3 linked regions of the Arabidopsis thaliana genome follow. The protein of the gene in region 3 interacts with the protein of the main gene of each other region in a pairwise test. Each region holds a gene or a part of one and is shown on either strand. Other genes may lie near its edges.

Region 1 (3,756 bases), on a different chromosome or scaffold from region 3:
AATCAACATTCTCATATTTTACAAGCTTTAACAGAATATGCATATCTATTAATGAGCGGCTCATTGTATGACAGAGAGCAAGCAATATGTATTCTGTGTGTAAATGCTATGTGGTGATGATACATTGATAAGAACATGAACTCGTTCTCTAGTTTATTAGATGAACTCAAAGAATAGTTTAAAGATCCATCAACTAATACACGTCTCAAATACTCGACCCCATTCAATGATTTCTTTAATCCCTGTATTTATACTCTTGCTTTCCTAGAAAGCTCGAAATATCTAGCTATCTAGATAGTAGCGAAGGTGACATAACAACTAATTCTTATCTCTACTAAATATCTAGTATCTAGCTAGAAAAAGTTTGGATAGTAAGCTTATTGTCGATGGAAGGTTGGATAGTAAGTGGCAAGCAGTGAAAAAACTTACCGCAAACACCCGGAGTGTCTTCTGTCCATCTTTGTCCTGTATTGTAATAACAATCTTGGCCCTGTCATTCGTAGGCTCTGATGGTAACTGAGCAGCAGTCTCTGAAGATGGATTGCGAGATTCTTCAACTTCCCTTTTAGCAGACTCCTCAACTTCCTGCATCACATCTCCTACAGTTTTTGTAAATGACATGAGCTCCATCTTCTTCGACCTACGTTACATATTTCATTTATAATCAAATTGTAACACTGGGACTCTTTCCGGATAGCAAATAACACTACCATAGCCTCTAACAGCAACATGGGAAGCTTAGAGATGAGAAATACTCAAAGACATACAAAAGTTACCTCAATGCTTTAATAGTTGAATCTTCAACAGAGTCTTTACTTTTGTCGAAGATAACCTTTGGTGGAGGAAGCAACCAATCGTCATCACCCGTAACTTCAATCACTTTCACATCATCATCTAACTTCTCAACCTATATAAAAAGATTCAAGTTCCAAAAGGAATGATGATAGATTCAACCTATGAATTGTGAAGTACATAATCGAATTGTTCCTTCACTGACATTGATTCAAAACTCTTTACAAGCCCACAATACCAAAAGTATCTATCAAGTTAACACAAAGAGCTCAATGAGACAACAACCAATCAATAAAAATCAATTCTTACTGTTTGTGAAGTTTTCGCTTTCTTCGGAATTGGCGTCACCGAGGCATCATCATCATCATCTACAAAAATTCAAGCGATAATAAAGGATTCATCTTTATCACTGTCGAGTGTCGAGCTCAGTGACCAAATCAAATAATCGAAACTCACCATCGATACAAACGAAATTCGCTGGCTGAACACGACGATAATCAAAAAGTGGCTCTAGATCTTCTCCTTCACCTCCCTGATCATCAATCAGTAATACAAATTCAGAAAAACTCAGGCATCAACACAATCCCACAACAGACAAAATTAGGGTTTTAAAAATTGGGGTATTGGGAATTCATAAAATTCTCACCATTGTTAGCGAATTTGGATCTTCTTCGTCTGTTTTATCAGAAACCCTAGATGAATTTGGACAGATTTTGAATTTGAATATTATTTTGCTGTGATTTTTGAAAAGACAAAAGTGATTTTGAATTTTGATGAAGAGAGGCATCGGCGATTAAGAAGCACCTCTTGGGTTTATTATTTGTTTGTTGGGCCTGTTTAGTGGGCCGAGTTTTCATTGGTTATCACACTTTTTTTTCAGATTGGTTTAATTGGGTTGGGTGACCATCATAGTTGATTGCGTATTTGTCATTTGAGATCTGTTGTACTTTAGTAGAATTTTGTTGGTATTTTTGAATGCATGACAATAAAAGATGGTACAACAAGACTCATCCTAAGTCTTTAGTAGAGAAGTCCATGGGAAGCTCTACATGAAGGTTATAGTAAACCAAACCGAGAAGGCACAAACTCGGCTTTACAAAATCAGGCCAAAAATAAGATAACCGGCAAATAAAAAGGGTTGGTGAGGCTATTCAAACCATACCTAAGTAAATTGTGTTCGATGATCACGAGAGAGAAAGAAACAAAGAAAGGGAGACAAAGCGTTTTCAGAGACTATGAGAGATCATGGAACCCTAGCTAGTAGAGTAGAGGACTAACCTTATTACCAAGATTTTTTATTTACATGTTGTTACAACTTACAAATGAATAAAAGATAATTAATGCAAATATAGTCTTGTTAATGCCAAAGTTTTGTTTCATGAAATAAACACGCTTCTAGCCTTTCATGATCACCCTCTTTGTCTCTTTATGTAGTTTTTTTTTGTCGTTTCTTATTGATGTGTGTTTCTTCTCCTCTCTCTCATAAGTCATAATACACTTAATATGTAGTCAATAATATTCCTAGTTTCATACATTCTTGTTTGCAATTCTTTAATTTTTTTTTGTCAAGAGTTTGTTATTCTTATATCTGCGAAATTGTATATATTTTTAAGAGTTAAATATCATAGTCAAAACCCGTATAAGCATAATAGAAAAGCCATGAAAGCTATATCGGGAGGTGGAATCTTACCTATGAGATTATGTACCCAATCAATCATCATTCGGAGAGGCCACAAAGAACAAACCCGAGTCCGAAACCGATTTGATCGATCATTGTCGATGTTGTAAGACCCTCCTTCGTCTACGTTACTCTCGGAAACACCTAAGTTAACCTCAAAACGACAAATGGGACAAGTGTTGTGAATGTTCAACCAAGACACAATGCAGCTTGAATGGTACAAATGCAAGCATTTCAATTCTTTTCCTTCCTCTCCAACTTCAAATTCCTCCTTGCATATCGCACAAACCTTCTCTTTCACCAAATCTTCATCCGTGATTATCACCGTCCTTACAGCCTCGATGGCGGATTGCGAGGCTGGTGGTGGACCGATTTGTACACTAGGCATGACATCAGCGAATTCCTCGTCAGTATTATAAACTAGATCATCATGATTGAACCGGTTACTTCTTGGTTCGTTGATAAGATGGAGAGTGATCCAATCGGTATCACTATCCCAATAAGGTCGGCTTGGCCTCATAATGTCAAGCTCATCGTGAAGATTGATCTCTCTAGAACAGAAAGGACATATGGGACCATATAGACCAAAGCTTCTTAGCCTAATGGTACGGCTACAATGGCGACAATAGAAGTAATGGAACGTTCTTGTTCTTCTTGTTCCATTCACAATAACTCTTGGACGATAAGCAGATGTCATGTTTTCAATCTTTTTATTTTTTCGTCGGTAGGATCTTTATATATGCATTTATAATTAAATACGTGTACATGTTTTCAAGAAGAGGCAAGACAAAGCCTATACGAGTGAATGAGTTATTCTTTTCTGTGTTTAGGTTGGTGTCGTATGGTCTCTGCTATGTCAACTTGCGAATCTTTTAGTGATTTGTCTTGTAGGAATCAGAGATTCAAAAGGATGCTTGGAGAATCAATTACGATAAAGGGTTTTAGGTTTGGAGGAGAGTTATTTGAGCGGCCCATTATGGGCCCATTCCAACTTACTAGTTCATGTACATATTGTATGACTCAGAAGTGAAATTAATTAGACCCAAATAAGATTTTACAATTTATTATTGCTCGTTAAAAAAAATCCATGCAACATCTTATGAAGTTGTGGATGTGGTAGTACAAAGGTCATATGCACATAATAACTTACATAGATGGTTCAATAAATCATCGTTAGATAGAATAATAATGTTAATATTCACTTAATCAAATATACTAACAACAAGTCGTTCAACATATATAAATGATGGTTGATCAAGGGACATTTGTACTTAATGTTGGGAGAT
Region 2 (3,756 bases), 5.3 Mb from region 3:
GACACTCGCCAGAGATAAAGATCACCAAATCACCTTATCAAAAATAGAAATAGCTTTCGTATAGTTTCCTTCATTCACCTGTTGACAAAACAGAAGCTCAGTCATCAAAAATTTGGAAGCTATACCTTATAGCTCTTTTCTTTTCCTTTTTTTCTGTGTATTGCTATACCTGTGCAATGCCTCTAGAAAGTCGAAAATCCACACTTATGGAATGGGTTCCCGATATTCTTGCTATGGTGTACTTCTTATTTTTCCTGGATTCATCACTAATTCCGCAACGTGCCTCAGCTTTATGGCTCATTTTGCTAGACTTAATACTTATCTTGTTTCCATTAATCGATAGCTCCCCGAACCGATCGGAACTTTCAGCTAAATTATCATGCAAATCAGAACCATTACAAGGTTTACATGATTCATAATAACCATTGATTTGGCTGCCACACTTTCCATTCTCTTTTTCCTTGTACACTGATCCGTTACATAAGTCGGAATTACCATCAGATTGCTTGCTAGCCTTGGATGCAACTTTTGAAAAGCTTACTATCTTTGATTGCTCGCCCAATTCGCTAGATGACTCATGTGAGTTCCCATTGCTACTTGCTCCTGATTCATGGTTGTCCAGCTTGTCACTTTTTTCATCAGACTTCTCACTATGATAGGCAGGGGTCTCTTGCGGAGACTCGGTGGCATGACTTTTTAAAATCCCATCAATTTCTCGTCTTGCATCTTTTAAGAGTTCTTCTAATTCAAGTAACTGCTTCACATCTGCTGTCTGCTGCAACGCACTTTTATACCCTTGCTCCAAAACAAGAACAGCTTCCTGTTTTCTCCCCAAAGCCAAAAGAGCGCGTCCTAGATGGAAAAGCTGATACACTTGAGTTCACATGCAGTATACCAATCAAAGTAAACCATGATCCGGTAACCATAAAAAATTCCATCCCCGATAAGATATATAACTTAACAGATATTCTTAAGCAACCATTATATCGTCATAACTAGCAGGCACTATAGCATTATCTAAACCCCTAATTCTAGTTCTGAAGCTATCCCGAGAATCAAACTCAATTCCCAGAGAAACTATGAAGCACTCAAGTCAAAGCTTGGAAGTGAACTAACCTTTGAGAATAAAAGCTTGAATGGCAAAAGGTTCAAGCAGAAGTGCCTTGTCACAGTCCTTAATCACATGCTTGTGAAGCTCCAATTGATTATAACAAAACGCTCTATTGCTGAAACCAAATTCCCAATTCAAAAAAAAATACTGAGATTAACGGGAGAAAAATCATTGATACCGATCCGGAGAAATTGAATGAGAGAACAAAGATCTCGAAACCAAACCATATATCCAAAATTGAAGACTCCTTAGCAAGGAGCGAATCGAGAACTCGGATCGCTTTAGACCAGTTCCGTGAACTGCAGTGCTTGGCTAACTCGAATCGTTCCGATGTCGCCGTCGCCGTCGCCATTTTTTGAGCGGTGGTGTCTCCGATGGAGAAATCAATCGCCTATTTAATCTTTCTCAATTTTATCCCTCTTCTTCGTGGCCGTCGTGTCACGGGAACGATGGGTTTAGGGGTAAAAAGGGAAATTAGTACAGTGGAGAAAATGGTAAAGAGAGAAGACTTTGACGGAGAACGAAACGGGGAAGAAAAAAAAGTAACGGGGAAGAGAGAGATAGTAAATAAAAAAGTAACGGAGAGATAAGAGCGAAGAGACGATGATGGTGAATGTGAATGTGATACTGGTGGTGGTGCTTGTGGTGCTGCTGCTGCTTCTCAATAAGTGGTGCTAATCAAATTTTGGGGCAAGAGTCGCACACGTATGAAGTTTCTTGTCACGTGACTTTTTGTTGTGTATATATGGGCCTAGCCCACTTATTATTTATTACCCTTTTACAATGGGCTAGCTCTGTTAATCGTCTTGCCAAAGAAATTCTAAGCAAATTGAAGTTAGGTGTGTGACTGTATTGGAGAACAAATTTGAAGTATATATATGTTCTCAATTCTTTCATGACTATGTAAACATTTAAATTGTATGACCTGCAATGAATTTTAAAAAAATGGAAGTTTAATCATAGTATTTGACTTTTTTTTTGGGTAGGCTAATCATAGTATTTGACTAGTGATGAAGAAATAATATTGTACCAAATGATATTTAAATTTCAATAATAAAATAATTTTAAGAAAATAAATAGAAGTTTTATATAAAGTGAATTATAAAATGGAAGTTTAATCATAGTATTGACTAGTAAGAAGCAATACAATATTTACCATTTTGTTTTGTATCACTAATTTTTTAAAGCTATTTACTTACCAATCTATAACTAATTTCATAAACAACAAATCGAATAAAATCTGAGCAGGCGCGTCAATAAAATTTGAAAGTTATTAGTGATAAATGATAATATAGAAAACAATATCTTTTGCACCGCATCCCTATAATAACATCAAACAAATCCATAATTTCATAAGCAAACAAACCTAACAAAATATGACTTAACTCCATCCTAATTCAAAACCCTAAATTTTCATTTTACTTTGTTTAAAACTTGGCTAATTTTTGTTCACAAACAAACAAATTTCAAAACCATCACAATATGTATGTTTTATGGTTTGGATTACCCATCCATAAATGCAAACTCAATGCTAATTCCTAGTATCACATGTTAATTACTCTTCACACAGTATAGCACAAGCACTCTTGCAAAGTTGCAATAATTCACTATGGACCATCAATTACGAACATCACTATTACATCAAGCAATAATGAGCTCTGAGCAAAGCTGTGGACAAAAGACAGAGACTTTTCGTTAAACAAGATAAGAACAACAAAGATCAAGATACTCAAGATAAACGAATCAGAACCAAACGACAACGAAATAATGTTCTCAATAGACTAGACAGACATATCACATCAGATATTTTTTTTCAACTTTTCTTACATCGTTTAATAATTAACTAATTAAATCTCTTACAATCACATAGCAATGTCATTACGAATGTGACGGAGGATGACAGGAATAACAGAATCTGGTGAGCTAAGCTGAGGAAGATGACCATCAGAAGGAATAACCTCGACGACGGATTCACAGCCAAGATTGGCGTGAAGATACTCGGAGACAACGACTGGTACAGCTAAGTCCTTAACACTTTGGAGAATGTGACACGGAACAGTGACAAAAGGTAAGATCTGTCTCATGTCACTTTGGAAAATGGTCTGGCCGACGGAGAGAGCTATGTCGGGACGCATATTGAAGAGTGTTCTGCTGAATTCTTGAACGGCGATGGAGTCCATGTCGCCACCGACGGCGAGTGGAGCGAAACCTAAGCACCACGCTTTGTAGTTGCTTCGGATGGCTTCGAATAGTTGGTTTAAGTCTTCTTGTTCGAATCCACCTTGGTAATCAACATCGTTTACGTATCTATAAACGTACCAAAACAATATAATTTGATTATATATGTTTCTTTTGTCAGAAGAAAATTAAAATATATAATATACTGTGTGAGCACCGTTTCAACAATTTTTTTTAAAAAAAGTGTAAGTAACACCTCAGTAAAACCAAATAAAAAAAAACAAATAAACAAATGGGTATTTCATGATTTTTTGTTCATAATTTACGGATTTTTATTGAAATATATAATGAAATGCTTCACTGATTTTGAGAAATAGGATAATTCAGACAAGAGGATAAACAAAGAGGCACTTTGTCGAAATTATGTCAGAATGAGAAATAAATATTTCGAAATAATAGATAATTGT
Region 3 (3,756 bases):
TGGGTTCTTAAGAGCCTTATACTCACAATTTGTTCACCAAAGTCGATGTTAACATTCTGCTTGGGTATTCCTTTTGCAAAAACAGTTACCACAACTTCCTCTGGCTTTTGGTAGTACTCGTGCCTGTTAACACTCAAGAATATCAGATATTTAATGATTCTTAAAAACTTTGGTATTGTTTTCTACAATAAAACTACCTGTACTTGGCTGTAGGGGTGACATCAAGTTCAGATACTGGTGGTGCTGTCACACTTGAAGGCAAAGTCGAAGGCACCGGTTGAACCAAATCTTTCTCTTCTTCTGGAAAAAGGATATTTACAAGTTCCATAGATCAAAACCTTAGGTGAATTACATAACAAAATATTTTGCACCATGGCAAACAATACAATCACTCTAGGCATGTAAACATAATCAACCAGAAAACAAGAAAAAAACACAAAAAACATACCTGTGATTAGAAAATTGCATTCATCTATCAACTTCTTAAATTTGGATTCACTCGGCGTGATAGAGGCACCCTTTTCAAGAGCTGTTTTAGCAGTCCGATACTCTTCAAGCTTCATACAGGCAGTTCTACAAATACAAAAACCAAACCATGAACAATGGAAGTAATAGCTTGACAGATATATACCACATTTGCAGACCATATAAACTGGTAGTAAAACAATCTAAGGACTAAGGAATCAGAGAAAATTAAACTCTCACTACAACTTATATACGACTTAAAAATGTTACATAGGAGGAAATAGCAAAACGTTACCCTTTTCTTAGGTAAGCTTTGGTCAATGAAGGATCCAACTCAATTGCTTTGTTCGCATCTGCCACGGCCTCTGCTCATTGAGAATCAAATGAGACCAAAATCTTATCCAACTAGTAAAGTTCTATGATACTACGCTAAAAATGCAGAGAATACTTTCTTAAAGCAAGAAATAGTTGAACTAAAGACTAATCACTCAAGCAAAAATTGAAACTTTCAATACTCCGTTAATACTTAACACTATCTGTAAACAAAATTCTCCATATTCACAATCAAAGAATCAAAAGACTAGCACAGCTAAAACCAACTTAAACCAATGTTTGAATGCATAACTTGTAAAGGGCACTCGCTACTGATAACAAATAACTAAATTTCGTTTCTCATGAAAGCAATTCCGATACATTGTTCCTCCACAAACAGCAAAAGAGAGACACATTAGTATCAAATTGATACGAAAGCTTTAAACTTTCGAAAAGAATTGTGACACTATCAAGCGACAGGACACAAAACGAAACCCTAAATACACATAATCCAGCAAAGTCAACAACTTTCAGCTATGATGAAGTAAGAAACCGAAAACATACAAAAACCCAGAACCCCAGAAGGCGTCCACGACAGTAAAAGACGAAGATAACAGAACAAAGAAGCTACCAGTGAAGCTTTCGAGTTTGATATAGGCCTGAGCACGATCAGCGAAGAACTCAGCGCAATTAGGATCCAAGTCAATGGCTTTGGAGTACAAGTCAACAGCAACATCGAAGTCATCGTCTACGAAAGCCTCTTTAGCCTTATCAGCAAGCTCCTTCGCCATCGATTGACTAAGAAAAAAAAACAGAGGAGAGCTAACAAAGACGATGAAATCAAAACAAGGAGGGAATGAAGTAGAGGGCAAGGTTTGTTACTTATTGCCACAATGGAAGGAAGGAATATAAAGAGAGATTGGATGTTATCGTTCTTCTTCTAGATTGTTCCTTCGTTTTATGCGACTTGTGTTCAGGGAGTTGAAGAGTTCGAACCCAAAATAAAATTTATAAAAACAATAATTTAAATATTTTTCTATTTTTTCCACAAAGTTTCTCCTTATTTTTCTAAAATAATATATTTCATTTTCTATAAATTTAATTTTGTGTGTACATCAAATATGTGAGATTTGATATTATTAAGAAAAATAGGTGAGGTCTCTAGTGTATATATTTTCGTTTAAAAAAAAAAATATATATTTTGTACATGTTGGAATTTTGTTACTTCACTTCAAAAACATTTCATGTACTTTGTCAAGTTTTCTAGAGTTAAAATAGTGTCTGACTTAGATGATGAATAACTGGTTTAATTTATTATGGATCACAAATTACATAGTGGATTTGACAATTTTATGATTAACCAAAGTGGGACTATTGCCTTAGAAAATATTGTTTTCCTAGCAGTTTCGTGGAACCTTATTGGAAGATTCAAATATGTGTGGATAGGGATGGAGAAGTCAATTTATTAGTGTCAAGTGGATGTGGTGAAGTCAATTTAAATAGTATCATATCAACTTTGCTTATGAGTTGAGTTGACCCACAATAACGTTAAATATCAACCTGCATCTGTAAAATTCTTTTTTTTTTTTAATGTTTAGTTCAATATAATTAACCTTGTTCCTCGTATATAAAAAGAAATCTGTGACAAATAGCCGACAAAAAAAAAATCTGTTGGGTTTGATTTGGACCGGAATATAGACATTGCGGCCTATCAAGAAATAAAACTTGGGCTAATCAAACAACGAAAGCCTGCCTATAGTAGATACGAGATAATGTTGATGCTCCCTCATCGGAAGTTTGAGGATGGGCACTCGTGTGTAGCATAGTATAAATAAAGAAGATGGTCGAGGATTGCAAATTACTTACCTGGACGGGGTTTACGGGTGATCATGAAGATCCGTGGCCTAGGCTGGTGGCTTCCTGCACTTGAGGTGCGCTAAGCCAAAGGTCACCCCAAGTGGGAGATCCTGCGTCATTATTTGTTGCCTTGGGGGCCTGCGTTCGCGCGGCCCCTTCCATTTCCAATAGTTCAATCTTTTGATCGTCGTTTTGACTGAGTTAATTAGAGCTAGATCTTAGTCAATGGCTCATGTTACATTTATTTTCACAGATCCAGAAGAAAAAAAAATTCTGTCTAAGTACCAGCTAGGCTGGTTATTGGATAGTGTTAGCGATCCAAGACACTGATGGAGGCAAATCATTGTAATGGGCTCATAGTTGCTGTTAATGGATCTGGTGCTTCTCAAATATTTCATTTGGTTGCAGTCTAACACAAGTTTGCGTTAGAGTGTTAGTGGCAAAAGCTGAAAGTTTCAAGCCCTTATGGTGCAAGATTGATTTATGCCACAGATCAAATGTTGTGGAAGCGGTGCGCATTGCATCCTTTGTGGATCAAACCATTCTCTTTGTTCGAAGAAGTGTAAAGAATGTGTCAAGAATTTTGGCAGCAGAGACGTGACTAGTAACTTTGTAGCTAAGTTCATTTCTTTTAGGAACATTAAAGTTGGCCCAAGATTTATTTACTTGTAGGATTTTGTTGGCGTTTTGCCATATCAGCTTTATCTTTACCTTTTTATGGATGTTTCCATCTTAAAAAGTACAAGATCCAAGTTTCTCTCTATGTAGAAAGATGAGCTTGAAATTGATTTCTTATCCAAAAGGTGAACCATATATAGACACATACACTAGACTCTTTGCTCAAGGTCCGTGGCTAAGGGGGATTTTAAATTTACCATTTTTGCTAGTATTTAAACCATGAGTCTCAGTCTCACCATTATTTTAACAATTTGATCAGCAAACATATAGAAGAACAATTTCAGAGCTCCAAGGCTACATGAATTTGCATCAAGACTCCAAATAATTGGTTCCAGTTTCAGAGCTCTGCTCTAGATGAAAACAATGATCTCTAATTAACTCCTTTCATTTTGGGTTTCATAATGACAATAAATATGACAATGCTTTAAACAAAAAAAACATGTA

Evidence for each region.
Region 1: the proteins of SGT1A (region 3) and AT1G68185 interact in a two-hybrid assay, tested with the Arabidopsis thaliana proteins (one study listed by BioGRID).
Region 2: the proteins of SGT1A (region 3) and SRFR1 interact in a two-hybrid assay, tested with the Arabidopsis thaliana proteins (2 studies listed by BioGRID).

The regions. Positions count from the first base shown.
Region 1 is NC_003070.9:25,554,227-25,557,982, reverse strand, and holds the start of AT1G68185 (Ubiquitin-like superfamily protein), read right to left. Parts: upstream 1,601-3,756; 5' UTR 1,580-1,600; coding exon 1,439-1,579; intron 1,325-1,438; coding exon 1,249-1,324; intron 1,161-1,248; coding exon 1,102-1,160; intron 908-1,101; coding exon 777-907; intron 641-776; coding exon 430-640; intron 1-429. Other genes in the region: AT1G68180 (RING/U-box superfamily protein), read right to left, coding at 2,358-2,380, 2,483-3,167; UMAMIT23 (nodulin MtN21 /EamA-like transporter family protein), read right to left, coding at 3,725-3,756.
Region 2 is NC_003075.7:17,614,072-17,617,827, forward strand, and holds the start of SRFR1 (Tetratricopeptide repeat (TPR)-like superfamily protein), read right to left. Parts: upstream 1,876-3,756; 5' UTR 1,464-1,875; coding exon 1,336-1,463; intron 1,227-1,335; coding exon 1,117-1,226; intron 853-1,116; coding exon 170-852; intron 79-169; coding exon 34-78; intron 1-33. Other genes in the region: KAI2 (alpha/beta-Hydrolases superfamily protein), read right to left, coding at 2,974-3,418. UniProt on the Arabidopsis thaliana protein: Negative regulator of effector-triggered immunity associated with the EDS1 resistance pathway. May localize its interactors to a microsomal membrane. May therefore negatively regulate RPS4 and SNC1 translocation to the nucleus.
Region 3 is NC_003075.7:12,297,827-12,301,582, reverse strand, and holds the start of SGT1A (phosphatase-like protein), read right to left. Parts: upstream 1,706-3,756; 5' UTR 1,569-1,705; coding exon 1,409-1,568; intron 834-1,408; coding exon 761-833; intron 574-760; coding exon 449-573; intron 301-448; coding exon 198-300; intron 124-197; coding exon 27-123; intron 1-26. UniProt on the Arabidopsis thaliana protein: Functions in R gene-mediated resistance, but participates in a lower extent than SGT1B to RPP5-mediated resistance. Not required for RPM1, RPS2, RPS4 and RPS5-mediated resistance.